Nothobranchius furzeri: one gene and its partners. The protein of the gene in region 1 binds, or shares a complex with, the protein of each later gene. Links are inferred from orthologs where the notes say so. Each region holds a gene or a part of one and is shown on either strand. Other genes may lie near its edges. The genes, in order: snrpf, prpf6 and cwc27.

The links.
Region 2: snrpf (region 1) and prpf6 share a complex: the UniProt entries of both Homo sapiens proteins name them as parts of the U4/U6-U5 tri-snRNP complex. The link is inferred for Nothobranchius furzeri from reciprocal best matches to the Homo sapiens genes SNRPF and PRPF6.
Region 3: snrpf (region 1) and cwc27 share a complex: the UniProt entries of both Homo sapiens proteins name them as parts of the minor spliceosome. The link is inferred for Nothobranchius furzeri from reciprocal best matches to the Homo sapiens genes SNRPF and CWC27.

What each region holds. Positions count from the first base shown.
Region 1 is NC_091741.1:34,923,469-34,927,221, reverse strand, and holds the start of snrpf (small nuclear ribonucleoprotein F), read left to right. Parts: upstream 1-1,290; 5' UTR 1,291-1,427; coding exon 1,428-1,430; intron 1,431-2,553; coding exon 2,554-2,679; intron 2,680-3,753. UniProt on the Homo sapiens protein: Plays a role in pre-mRNA splicing as a core component of the spliceosomal U1, U2, U4 and U5 small nuclear ribonucleoproteins (snRNPs), the building blocks of the spliceosome.
Region 2 is NC_091755.1:59,889,597-59,893,349, forward strand, and holds the start of prpf6 (pre-mRNA-processing factor 6), read left to right. Parts: upstream 1-1,418; 5' UTR 1,419-1,473; coding exon 1,474-1,652; intron 1,653-1,834; coding exon 1,835-1,997; intron 1,998-2,077; coding exon 2,078-2,196; intron 2,197-2,327; coding exon 2,328-2,406; intron 2,407-2,657; coding exon 2,658-2,834; intron 2,835-3,210; coding exon 3,211-3,324; intron 3,325-3,402; coding exon 3,403-3,497; intron 3,498-3,582; coding exon 3,583-3,739; intron 3,740-3,753. UniProt on the Homo sapiens protein: Involved in pre-mRNA splicing as component of the U4/U6-U5 tri-snRNP complex, one of the building blocks of the spliceosome.
Region 3 is NC_091746.1:63,257,212-63,260,964, reverse strand, and holds the start of cwc27 (spliceosome-associated protein CWC27 homolog), read left to right. Parts: upstream 1-1,064; 5' UTR 1,065-1,375; coding exon 1,376-1,417; intron 1,418-1,764; coding exon 1,765-1,861; intron 1,862-3,753. Other genes in the region: ppwd1 (peptidylprolyl isomerase domain and WD repeat-containing protein 1), read right to left, coding at 411-513, 604-736. UniProt on the Homo sapiens protein: As part of the spliceosome, plays a role in pre-mRNA splicing. Probable inactive PPIase with no peptidyl-prolyl cis-trans isomerase activity. As a component of the minor spliceosome, involved in the splicing of U12-type introns in pre-mRNAs.

The DNA of each region.
Region 1 (3,753 bases):
TCGCTTTTATGTAATTTTGTGTCTCTTTGTGGTCGTTTTGCTGATTTTATTGGTCTTTTAGAATAAATTGTAGTTTTCTTTTCATTGTTTGTTACTAATTTAAATGATTTTTATTTCATAACTTCTAATCTTTGTGACCATTTGGTGAAAATGTCATCTTTTTTATTTTATAGCCTCGTAAGACTAATTTTGCTATTTTAAAATCATATTTAATTAATAAATAATTTCCCTTTTGTTTTTGGTTGCTTTGCACGAGTTACTTTCTTGTGACTACAGTTTTTGCAACACTGCAAATTTATTTGTGTCTCTTCATCATTTTGCAGCTCTAAATACGTTTTTAAACACATGAAAAATATATTATGCTTTCTTTATCGGTTCAGTCGGTCTGTCTGTCTGTAACAGATTTTATTACGCCTCATGCCAACAGTAGTTCTCATACAACTCATGCACCCTCTGACTGGCCACTTCTCTAAACCTCGCGTACCGTCTCCATCCCATAACTGAGACCAGACTGTCTGATGGACGGGTTAATTACACGTTGGAAAGGTGAGGTCGGGAAAATACTCAGTGATGTAAAGAAACAAGTATTTCAAACATGCAGAGAGAGATCCAGAGCAATTTCATAGGAATTTTTCTGACAAAACCCAGCCATTTGCTGAATGAAGTCAGATTTCGGTTTTATTCACCATGGCAGGTTTGAACTTGCCTGACTTTTTGGTAACAGACAAACGCTTCAGAGCAGAAAACATTTTTTAAACATCGGGCTTCTTGTGCCTGGAGAAAAACAAAGCTGCAGAGAGCAAGCATGACCCAGTTATGACAGTCGTGCCAGGTTTAGCTCCTAAACCGATATGTTTTCAATCAGTCACTGATCCTGCATGACATAAATAGAGCAGGAGTTCAACTCAAGGCAGATGACATGATCTTGTTGCTGAGAATGAAAACGAGTTTGAAGAAAATTATTACTAGTTTTTCCTGGACTTAATAACTGATTTTTTTTGCCATTTTCTTTTGTGAATGTAGAGGAGATACAACTTTTTGGACTGGACTTTATTTCTGTATCGTGCCACGAACATATAGCAGATACTCTATAAACAACTGACATATCAACCCCAGAGATCGTGCATACATATTGTAGGTGTTTAATTCACGTTTCGTTTATCAGCTCACAGTTTACTGTTCAATGGGTGACTGTAAATGAGAGGAAGAGGGGAAACTTTTGGAGCTTTACACTAAATCACTTGGGTAGCAGTTCGCTCATCCGGCCACTGGGAGGCGCTGTTTAAAGCACGGAGACTCGTGCCCAGGTCGGAAAGTTGTACTTCCGGTCGGCGGTAAAGCGTGCTTCGTGGTTTGCAAACGTTATCGAGACGAACATATTTTACTTTTTTGATTTAGCTTATTAAAGCTGTTTAATTTGATATAAAATGGTGAGTAAGACGTTGTATATCTTTATCGTCTTGCGAATGAACTATCAGGATTTAATTCAGTGTATTTTTGTTGTTTAGCGTTAGCCATGTTAGCTTTTCATTCATAACTTCGACCTAGACCTTTCACACCCTCAAACACATATTAACACAAAACTGGTGTTATAAATCTTCGGTTTCTTATTCCCTTTGGGTTGTAAGCCGTCTACTCGTTCATCACTGTTAATAAACAAGAGAAAAGACCGCAGAGGCTACATCAACCGCTAGCATCCCCTCGCTTCCTGGCAAAATAAAGTCCAAACTATTTCGCTAAGATCGTTTATCAAAAGCTTCCATAAGGAAATGAATATATATTAATAATATGTCTCTCGACCTTTAGCTATTTAATCTTTATAATGTGAGCTAACTCCTCAGGCCTTTAAGTCCACGGTGTCCTGTAGCTAGCCTTAAGAGAGATGATCGGTTTAAAACAAGCGACTCAGAATGAGCTAAGAGCATCTTTGGTGTGTGCTTGCTGTGTTGAAATTCTAATTCCATCTTTTAGTTATTTTTAAAACACAGAAAGGTTTTATTTGCCTGCAACGTTTCGTTTGCGGCTGCAAACTTCGTCAGGCTGACGCTGCAGGTAAATAAAACAGCAGTAAAGCATTTAAACCTTTTTATTAAACCACCTGACCCGGATTAACCTTTGTGTTATGGGAGAACATATTAAAATTTAATAGTGATTGAACAAAATAATGCAATTTAAAGAAAAATAACACTATTAGGATTTAACAGCTTGTTTTATTACACAGATCAGTTGCGCTGATTCATTAAACGTTTTTTATGAATAAAATTAGATTGGTTAAACAGCTGTTTGGCCATTAAGTAATTCATTAGTAAAGTCAATAAAAATGATTTACTTTGCAGTAGATTTAAAGTTTGGATTCTACGCAAAAACGTTTAATTGAATCCGGATTTCCTTCATGTTGGAGTGAGGAGTATCTGTGTTGTAGGACGGACGGCTGGGGGTACGCTGCTGTTCAGCAGCGTTACAAATTCATGAAATGTAGTCGTTAAATGCATTTAATTTTCTTCAGTAGTGTGGGATGTAATGGCTTTGCTGACCTCTGTTCTTCTTCTACAGAGTTTACCTCTGAACCCGAAGCCTTTCCTGAACGGCCTGACGGGAAAACCTGTGATGGTGAAGCTGAAGTGGGGTATGGAGTATAAAGGCTACTTGGTGTCTGTGGATGGATACATGAACATGCAGGTGGGTGCCGTTTCTCCTCCTAACAACCAAACCACAGAATCTTCTCACATGGAAAAATAAACCATTTAATTATTTGTATACCTGCTCAGGATTTGCTACTGCTTGATGATTTTATTGTGTGGTTTTATCTGTGTCAGACTTCTTTATTATCATAAATTTGGTTAAGCCAAATCAAAATAAATGATAAAATTAAATTTGTACCCCAGGAAAATTCAGCTCTTTAGACCCATCATCCTGCTTGTTTTCTATGTTTCTTTGCTTCAACACACCTGATTTGAGTCATTAGGCGAATAATGAGCTGCTTCAGAAGAATTAAGCTATTGAATCAGGTGTGTTGGAGCAGGTAAGGAACTAAAACATGCAGAACCAGGGCTCACTGATGTTCTTTAATCAGTTCAACTTCAGATCATAGTCAGACTGCTGAAAGGTGTTTATCTTCGTGTCCAGCAGGGGGCGTTGTTTGATCAGTTTGAGGGAATTTTTGCTAAAGAGACTGAAGTGAATAAAGTCATGGCTCCAAAATGTCTAAGGAAACTTCATGTAATTATAATTTTACTTATTAATATTAACAAAGCAGCCTATTTATCCTTCAGCAGCAGTAAAATACAAATGTTCCCAAAGCAGGGTGTGTTTTCAAATGTTTGCATGTATATTTGGGAACAATATCTAGGATATGCACCCAGTTGTCAGCGAAATGCAAATCAGTTCAACAGCAGTTGATGAAGTTCTAACAGCTTTTTAAAAGTCTAATCCATAAACCTCCACTGGAAAGAATATAGATGCAGGAATTAGGCCTGCAGCTATCGAATATTTTTGTAATCGAGTACTCTATCAAATCTTTTATCGATTAATCGAGTACTCTATCAAATCTTTTATCGATTAATCGAGTACTCTAATAAATGACCCTTTTGTGTTTGTAAACCATTATATCAAATAGCATGTTATAAAATATGAAAGACCTCTTAAAATGAGTACGCTATTGCCAGTTATTCTTCAAGTTTTATTCAAAATCAGTTTGCAAAACTTCAGCACTTCAACTTTACTTCACAGTAAACAAATGCCTGTGCAAAAAAT
Region 2 (3,753 bases), on another chromosome or scaffold:
TAGGTCAGCTTTGAGATAAACACACACATGATATGTGGCTCTTTCCTTTAGTCATATATAAATGTGCATTTTATTGTGTTCTAATTATTCAATCAAAACAAAATCATCATTTAAAGACTCACAAGGACATAAAACACACTGATGGGAGGAAATGCAGTTTGAATTAAGCTTCATATTTAAATCTGTCCTTGTACATGTGAACCACCTAGCATCTAATCCATCTGACGGTCAATTTTCTTCCCTAACATCCTCTCCCACGGGTAAAATAACACCATCCCTTCAGGCGATGTAAATGAAGAAAGATGTAGAGGCTGGATCCCAGGCTAGGAGTGAAGACGGCTGAAGTTAATGCGATTGAAACTAATTGATGAATGGTTTCACATCATCTCATGAGATAGATCCCAAAAATGTCATGTTAGCATGTAATTACTTATTGCACTCTGGCATCTCTGTTTGAGTGTAGGTTTCTGAACCTGAAATGTCAGATGAGTTATTGATGTAGCATGTTGGCATGTGTCTAATGGGAATTAATGGAAATCATCACAAATGCATGGCTCATTTGACCTAAAACTATGTACATTACAAGCAATATAATATATGTGCAGTCAGACAGGCAAGGAGTGAAAATATTGTATTCAATTTTCAAACAGCATAAAAAATGATGTATTTCTTTCAATTTGGCAACCTAATTATCTGTGGGATCAAATGTCATCTGAGTCATCCTTGTCTTAATTAGGGCTGCAGGTCCATTAGTTGTTTCTGTAAACAATGTCTAGGTAATAATTTTTTACTAAACAAACTAGAGAGGAAATGACAACAGTATGTATGAGTATTTATCTTACTCTACCCTACCTCCACTTCAAACTCTAACCCAGGACTGCCAACGTAGGAGTGAGACAGCTTTTCTTTTTTTTTTTTTTTTTTTTTTTTTTAATGAACCAGATACTGATGAGGCATTCTGCATTAGGCCAGTCAAAAATGACCGTTCTCAGTTTTGCACAACTTGAGGTGGTTCATTTAGGATGGATGAAGATACTATGATTTATCTAGTTTTTCTTTTTATATCTTAAAATTGAGTATAAATAAATATCACGTGTGTGTGTGTGTGTGTGTGTGTGTGTGTGTGTGTGTGTGTGTGTGTGTTTATGTTGTATATAAACATTGTATATATGCATGTATATAAGTATATATTTTTCCCTCATTGTACTATTTTAGACAATTGTGTTTTGGTGTTTAGAGTAGCATATCCTAAAAGATAAATACTATTTACTCAGTTTAACTTTATTCCATCTAATTGTATTTTTATTTTATTTTCTACAGTTTGGCGCACCCGTGTGGCAAACTTTAGCGGTCAATCAATCAGCCCGTCCTGTTGGGGGCGCTGTAACAGAAAACAAGAAAAAGGAAGGAGTCGAGAGCGGAAGTTAAACTGTTGTTCATCTGCTAGTGAGTGTGCACGTCGTTGCAGCAACGATGGCTACCTCTGGAGCAAAACAAACACCTAAACTTGTCTCCAAAACCAGCGCGGGGGGCACAGGGGCGAGTGGCGCGCCCCCTGTAATACCTCTTGCCTCTCCGCTTATGGGGAAAAAGAAGAAGCCGTTTCTGGGGATGCCCGCTCCGCTAGGTTACGTTCCTGGTCTCGGCAGAGGGTAAGCTAATTTGATGCTAAGTCGTTAGCTCCTCCAGTTGCGTGTTTGTTGACAACTTGAATTGTCCACCTTCTGCATGCAGTGTCAAATAAAACAACATTTTAAATACATTATAACAATGGTTTGTGCTGTTTGCAACAAAGGACAAATCTCCGATCTTAAGGGTTATGTTGCGGTTTCAGTGCCACAGGATTCACCACCCGGTCCGACATCGGTCCTGCTCGGGATGCCAACGACCCCGTGGATGATCGGCATGCTCCCCCAGGGAAGAGGACGGTTGGTGACCAGATGAAGAAGAATCAGGATGATGATGACGAAGATCTAAACGACACCAACTATGACGAGGTCTCAATAACTAAATGCTTTTGTTGGCATTTAATACTTCAGTGCATCCAGTCAATAACTCCTGTTTGCTCCTTGTACAGTTTAATGGTTACGCTGGCAGCTTGTTCTCCAGTGGGCCTTATGAAAAGGACGATGAAGAAGCAGATGCTATATATGCGGCACTTGACAAGAGAATGGATGAACGGCGCAAAGAAAGAAGGTAAACTATAAAACTAATCTACCTCTTGACCAAAAAAGACCAAACACCTACAAAATAAGTGCACAGAGCATCCCTTTTTCATCCCTGTGTTGATTTAATGTGTTTCTGATACTGTCTGTGGTTGCTCGTAGGGAGCTGAGAGAAAAGGAAGAAATAGAAAAATATCGTATGGAGCGTCCTAAAATCCAACAGCAGTTCTCAGATCTGAAGGTAAGTTTTCCACATTTATTCTATTGTATTCACGATGCCATTATTTTTAGGTATCTATCTTTAATGCATTTTGTGCAGGTTAACAGCTGACTCTGCATACTGATTTGTTTGCATTCATGTTTTTGTGCTTTTAAACAAATTTGTGATCTTATTTGCCATTTGTGAAATGGTAATGCAAAGGCACATGAAATTACAATTATTAATCTCTCTTAGGATCAGACACGCATCTCTGTTTTATCATTTAATTACAGAGAAAACTAGCAGAGGTGTCGGAGGAGGAGTGGCTGAGCATCCCTGAAGTTGGAGATGCCAGGAACAAGCGACAGAGGAATCCTCGCTTTGAGAAGCTCACCCCGGTCCCTGACAGCTTCTTCTCTAAACACCTGCAGACCGGAGAAAACCACACATCTGTTGATCCGTTACAAGGGGTTAGTAGTCATGAAAACACACTACAAGCAGGTCACCGAACATTTGTTGTAGTTTCACCTTGCCCCAGCAGGAGTCAGAATAACTGTTCAGAGATGTGCAGCCATGCATTATATTGTCAGTAAATATCTGCTTAAGAGCATCAACCTCATGTTTAAACTTGAAACTATTCATTTATCTACTTGATTTCATGCATGCAATGTTTAAATACTTTAACTGGAAACAGCAGTGTTTACTTAGACAGAGCTGGCTCCATGTTTAGTTCTGCAGAATATAAAGCATCTTTTACGTGTGTCAGTTATAGCTGTGAGAAAGGATTCAGCTTTCTTTAGCTGTTCACACACGCTGTAACACAATTCCTGCTTTCTGTCTTGGTAGCTGGGCGGTCTGAACACACCATACCCAGGCAGCATGACTCCTGGAACTGGAGACTTGGATATGAGGAAAATCGGTCAAGCCAGAAACACTCTCATGGATATGAGGCTCAGTCAGGTAGACCTATCTAAATCCTGAGCTTCTTTCACATTTATCAAGATTTTACCTGTTTTTATTGTTTTTCTCTCCACTAAGGTGTCTGATTCAGTCAGTGGACAGACAGTGGTGGATCCTAAGGGTTACCTGACAGATCTCAACTCCATGATCCCCACTTATGGAGGAGACATCAGGTATAGAAAAGTTGCCCATAGGAAAATTTCCTTTTGAAATAACTTCTTATGTGTGTTTGATGAATTACACCTAAATCTCACCCAGCGACATCAAGAAGGCTCGCCTGCTGTTGAAATCTGTGAGAGAGACTAATCCCCATCACCCGCCGGCCTGGATTGCTTCTGCCAGGCTTGAAGAGGTGACGGGCAAGCTGCAGGTCGCCAGGAACTTGATCATGAAGGGCACAGAGATGTGTCCTAAGGTAAAAGGGGTGTC
Region 3 (3,753 bases), on another chromosome or scaffold:
TGTCATGCACTGGGTACAGACAGCGGTTAGCTGACTTCCGAGGACTCGCGATAGGGAATGGTGGGTCGCTTAGGGACTATCAACAAATTTGTAGTCCTTTGTAAACGAGTACAAAATTGTTTTTAAACTTCCAGAATAATTTCCTAAATGACTCAAAATTACTTCTGACATGTGTTACTAAACTACATTTACAAGACACAACAGTTTTAACACATTTCACTCAATCTGATCTTTTTTATTAGGATTTTATTTCAAAATTAAGGGACTTATAGCGAGTCCTCGGAAATCAGCACATCGCTGTGCTCAGTGCACGGCATAAAGACTTATCGCTAACAGTGTAAACCAATGTCTGTCAAATATCCAACGTCCAAGTTCAAGCTAACTTTACCGCGGTATTTTTCTCCACTTACTTCGAACACACCAAGTGTGTGATAACGTCTCTATGCATGTAGCTCCGTTCGTACATGGCAGCTGATGGGAGGTTATCCAGGTAGACTCGCTCGTATTCTAGGACTGAAGAAATAACCGAACCAGAATTAGCGGGATTTACTGAAAAGTGGATTCGCGCAAACCATTGTGGTAAATTCAGTGTCATTAACCCACCTCTTCGTTTCTTTGTCTTTGATGCTTCATTTGGCATGGGTCCAACCCAGTCTGTACTTTCATCATTTCCATCTTCATCTTGAACATCATCAGCTTTTCGTTTTAACTCCAAACTGTTTTCAACCTCCGCCATTGCTGCACAGCGTCGTGTGGTCCTTTCGTAATTACGGCACTTCCGCTGCGCTCTGAATTTAATTTTGCTCCGTCAGAAACTTAGCGAAATTTATTAGAGATTGTAAATTTTTAAGTAATATTTTAGAATGCACCCTAAATTATAAAACTGGATTATATTTTCGTATTTTAAGTGTAATAGAAGCTTAATGCGGAACTTGTTATTATGCTTTGTTTCTATGGGCCTATTAACGCTGAACATCGTGTGGATTCAACCATTTTCACTTTTAGGGGCTGAGCCTGCGATTGTTTTTGATGTTATGTTGTCGTTAGCGGTTTAGCTGGTTGTTATGAACGTGAAAAAATATTTTCAAAATGAAAACATATAAACATCTTAAATAATTATCATAAACAGCAGAGTATACTAAATAAAAAAGAGTAGTACATCAGGATTCCCCCGTGTTCTCTGAAGTAAACACTGCACTAGCATGGCTGTTGGAGGATAAGTGTGAAATTTGCAACATTCGGGAAAAGTACAAGCAGTTATCAGGATTACTAACCGTTTATCTATTATACATTTTACGTGAGTTGAAGGTATAAAGGTGTTAAAGATTAGAATTTCGTTTTTTTTTCGAAGCACATAAGCAGATTCACCTTCAAAATGAGTAACATATATATCCAGGAACCTCCAACAAGTGGAAAGGTGAGTGCCTTCCTATCTTTTTATTTTGTCTGTATTTACATTAAGAACATGCAGTGTAGCTTTTCCTTGTAAAGTTTATACACATTTCGTTGAAACCAGCTAGTTGTTGATATGTTACCAGCTAGTTGTTGATATGTTGCTAGTAGGAGGTGAACGCGTGTGCCATAGAAGTAGCGGGATGGTAGGAGAAGTTAGCCTGGCAAGCGAGACAAAATAAATATATTATTTGCTTTGCAAACTTCTGTGCAAAAAAAAAAAAACTTTGCAAAGAAAGATTTTGGTCTAGTTCACTAGGCTAGGGAGAAGTAGTTTTATATGTAGATATGTTTTGCTGTGCTGCTTTTCAGGTGCTGATGAAGACCTCAGCAGGGGAAATTGACATCGAGCTGTGGTCCAAGGAGACTCCTAAAGCATGCAGGAACTTTGTGCAGCTGTGCATGGAAGGTAAGGTAGACCGTGCTGTTAAAAAACGGTCCGTGGAGGAAAAATCTGAAATTCAGAAGTTGTGGATGATGCATTCCAAAAAAATACAAGTATCCATATGTACATATTGATATTTACTGCAGTACAGATATCAGTGAACCTCATGTATGTTAAAGGGGGTATATTATCCATTCATCCATCCATCCATTTTCGGCTGCTTATCCGGGGTCGGGTTGTGGGTGCAGCAGTAGGCCCAGACTTCCCTCTCCCCAGCCACTAAGGCCAGCTTCTCCAGGGGAATCCTAGGGAGTTACCTGGCCAGGTGAATGACATTGTCCCTCCAGCATTTCCTGGGTCTTGCTTTAGGTCTTCTCCCGGTTGGACATGCCCGGAAAACCTCACCAGGGAGGTGTCCAGGAGGCATCTTAACTAGATCCTCCTCAACTGGTTCCTCTTGATGTGCAGGAGCAGCAGGTCTGCTCCGAGCCCCTCCCAGATGATCAAGCTCCTCACCCTATCTCTAAGGAAGAGCCCAGCCACCCTGCAGAGAAAACTCATTTAGGGCGCTTTTATCTCCAATCTCATTCTTTCGGTCACTACCCAAAGCTGAAAAGATAAAAACACTTAGTTTTAGTGTCAGTTCATGACCCAGCTCATCTTTCTCAAACAGGAAGCTACGTTTTTAAAACCTTTGTTTTGGCGTCAGACTCCGGCTGCAGGTCTCCTTTTCTCGTCTTCCAGCTAAACAGCGGAGCTGTCAGCTGGTCATTCATCCTTCTCCTCCTTTATACACAAGAACCCACTAAACTACAGAGAAGTAACAATCTGTCACAGATCGCTGCTATATAACTTTTGCCGTGAATTCTGTTTCAATGCTCCGCAGATCCGCTCCATGTGACAGCTCACACCCGCTGTCACAGAGCTTCCTCTGTCCACAATTTATCTGATGGTCTAAAAAAGGTAGTTTAATTATTTTAGTATAACTCTGGTTTAACTTGTTCTATTAACAGAAATAAAAACTGGTGGGTATTGAAACTGAAGCTCAGAGAGGCGGAGTCTTGCTGCTGCGGCGTCCCAAAAGGTGTGTTTTCATTGGTCGGTTGCAGACAGGAGTCCCAGGTTTTCAAGCATGCTTGAAGACTTTTTTAAGCTGATTTGGTCGTGAGACGGCTCAAAAAGTTGTCGCAGAGCCGGCCACACTGTATTTTTTTTTGTCACGATTCTGCTCAGGACTAGGAATTTGGCAAAGACAGCCGAAAATCATACAGTGTGATCTGGGCGTAAGGGTATAAAGCTGGTCCAGTAGGCACATTTTGTCAGAGTGGGCATGGGCGGAGTTTCACTGTCTCTCAGAGAGACGAGACGCTGGACGCTCTCCTGAGCCGACAACCCGCTCCTGCAGCTGTCGCTTCTGTCACGTTGGGCGAACCATCGGACACGCCACTCGTCACAGATGAAGCTGAACATTCACCTCTCCCTTCAGTAAGACAAGCAGTAAGTGTAGCAACACAGTGTTCTCCAAATATACAATATCTGAAAAAATGATTAAAGTTGTTTTACTGAATATCCTAATCATCTATGAAGCACACGACAGCTCTGGATGCTAAAATTCTCCTAAACAATTCATAATTGAATAAGTTTGACCACGCGACAGCTTACCGTTAACTTCTGCGGACAAAAATATGAGCTCTTAACAACAAACACTCTCCCTTTCGGTTCCCATGGAGACGCATTTGCAGCACACACACCACTGCTTTTGTCCTGCTCTCGCTTCATCCCGCCCTTCTTGCTCTTCATTTTGATGCTCGTTTTGTGAAACATAATCAGTGATGTCATCATTAATGTTTCGCTCTGGTTCAAATAGAAAAGGCTGAACAGACGACATGTCGATGTCGCTTAACAGTCACTACAGG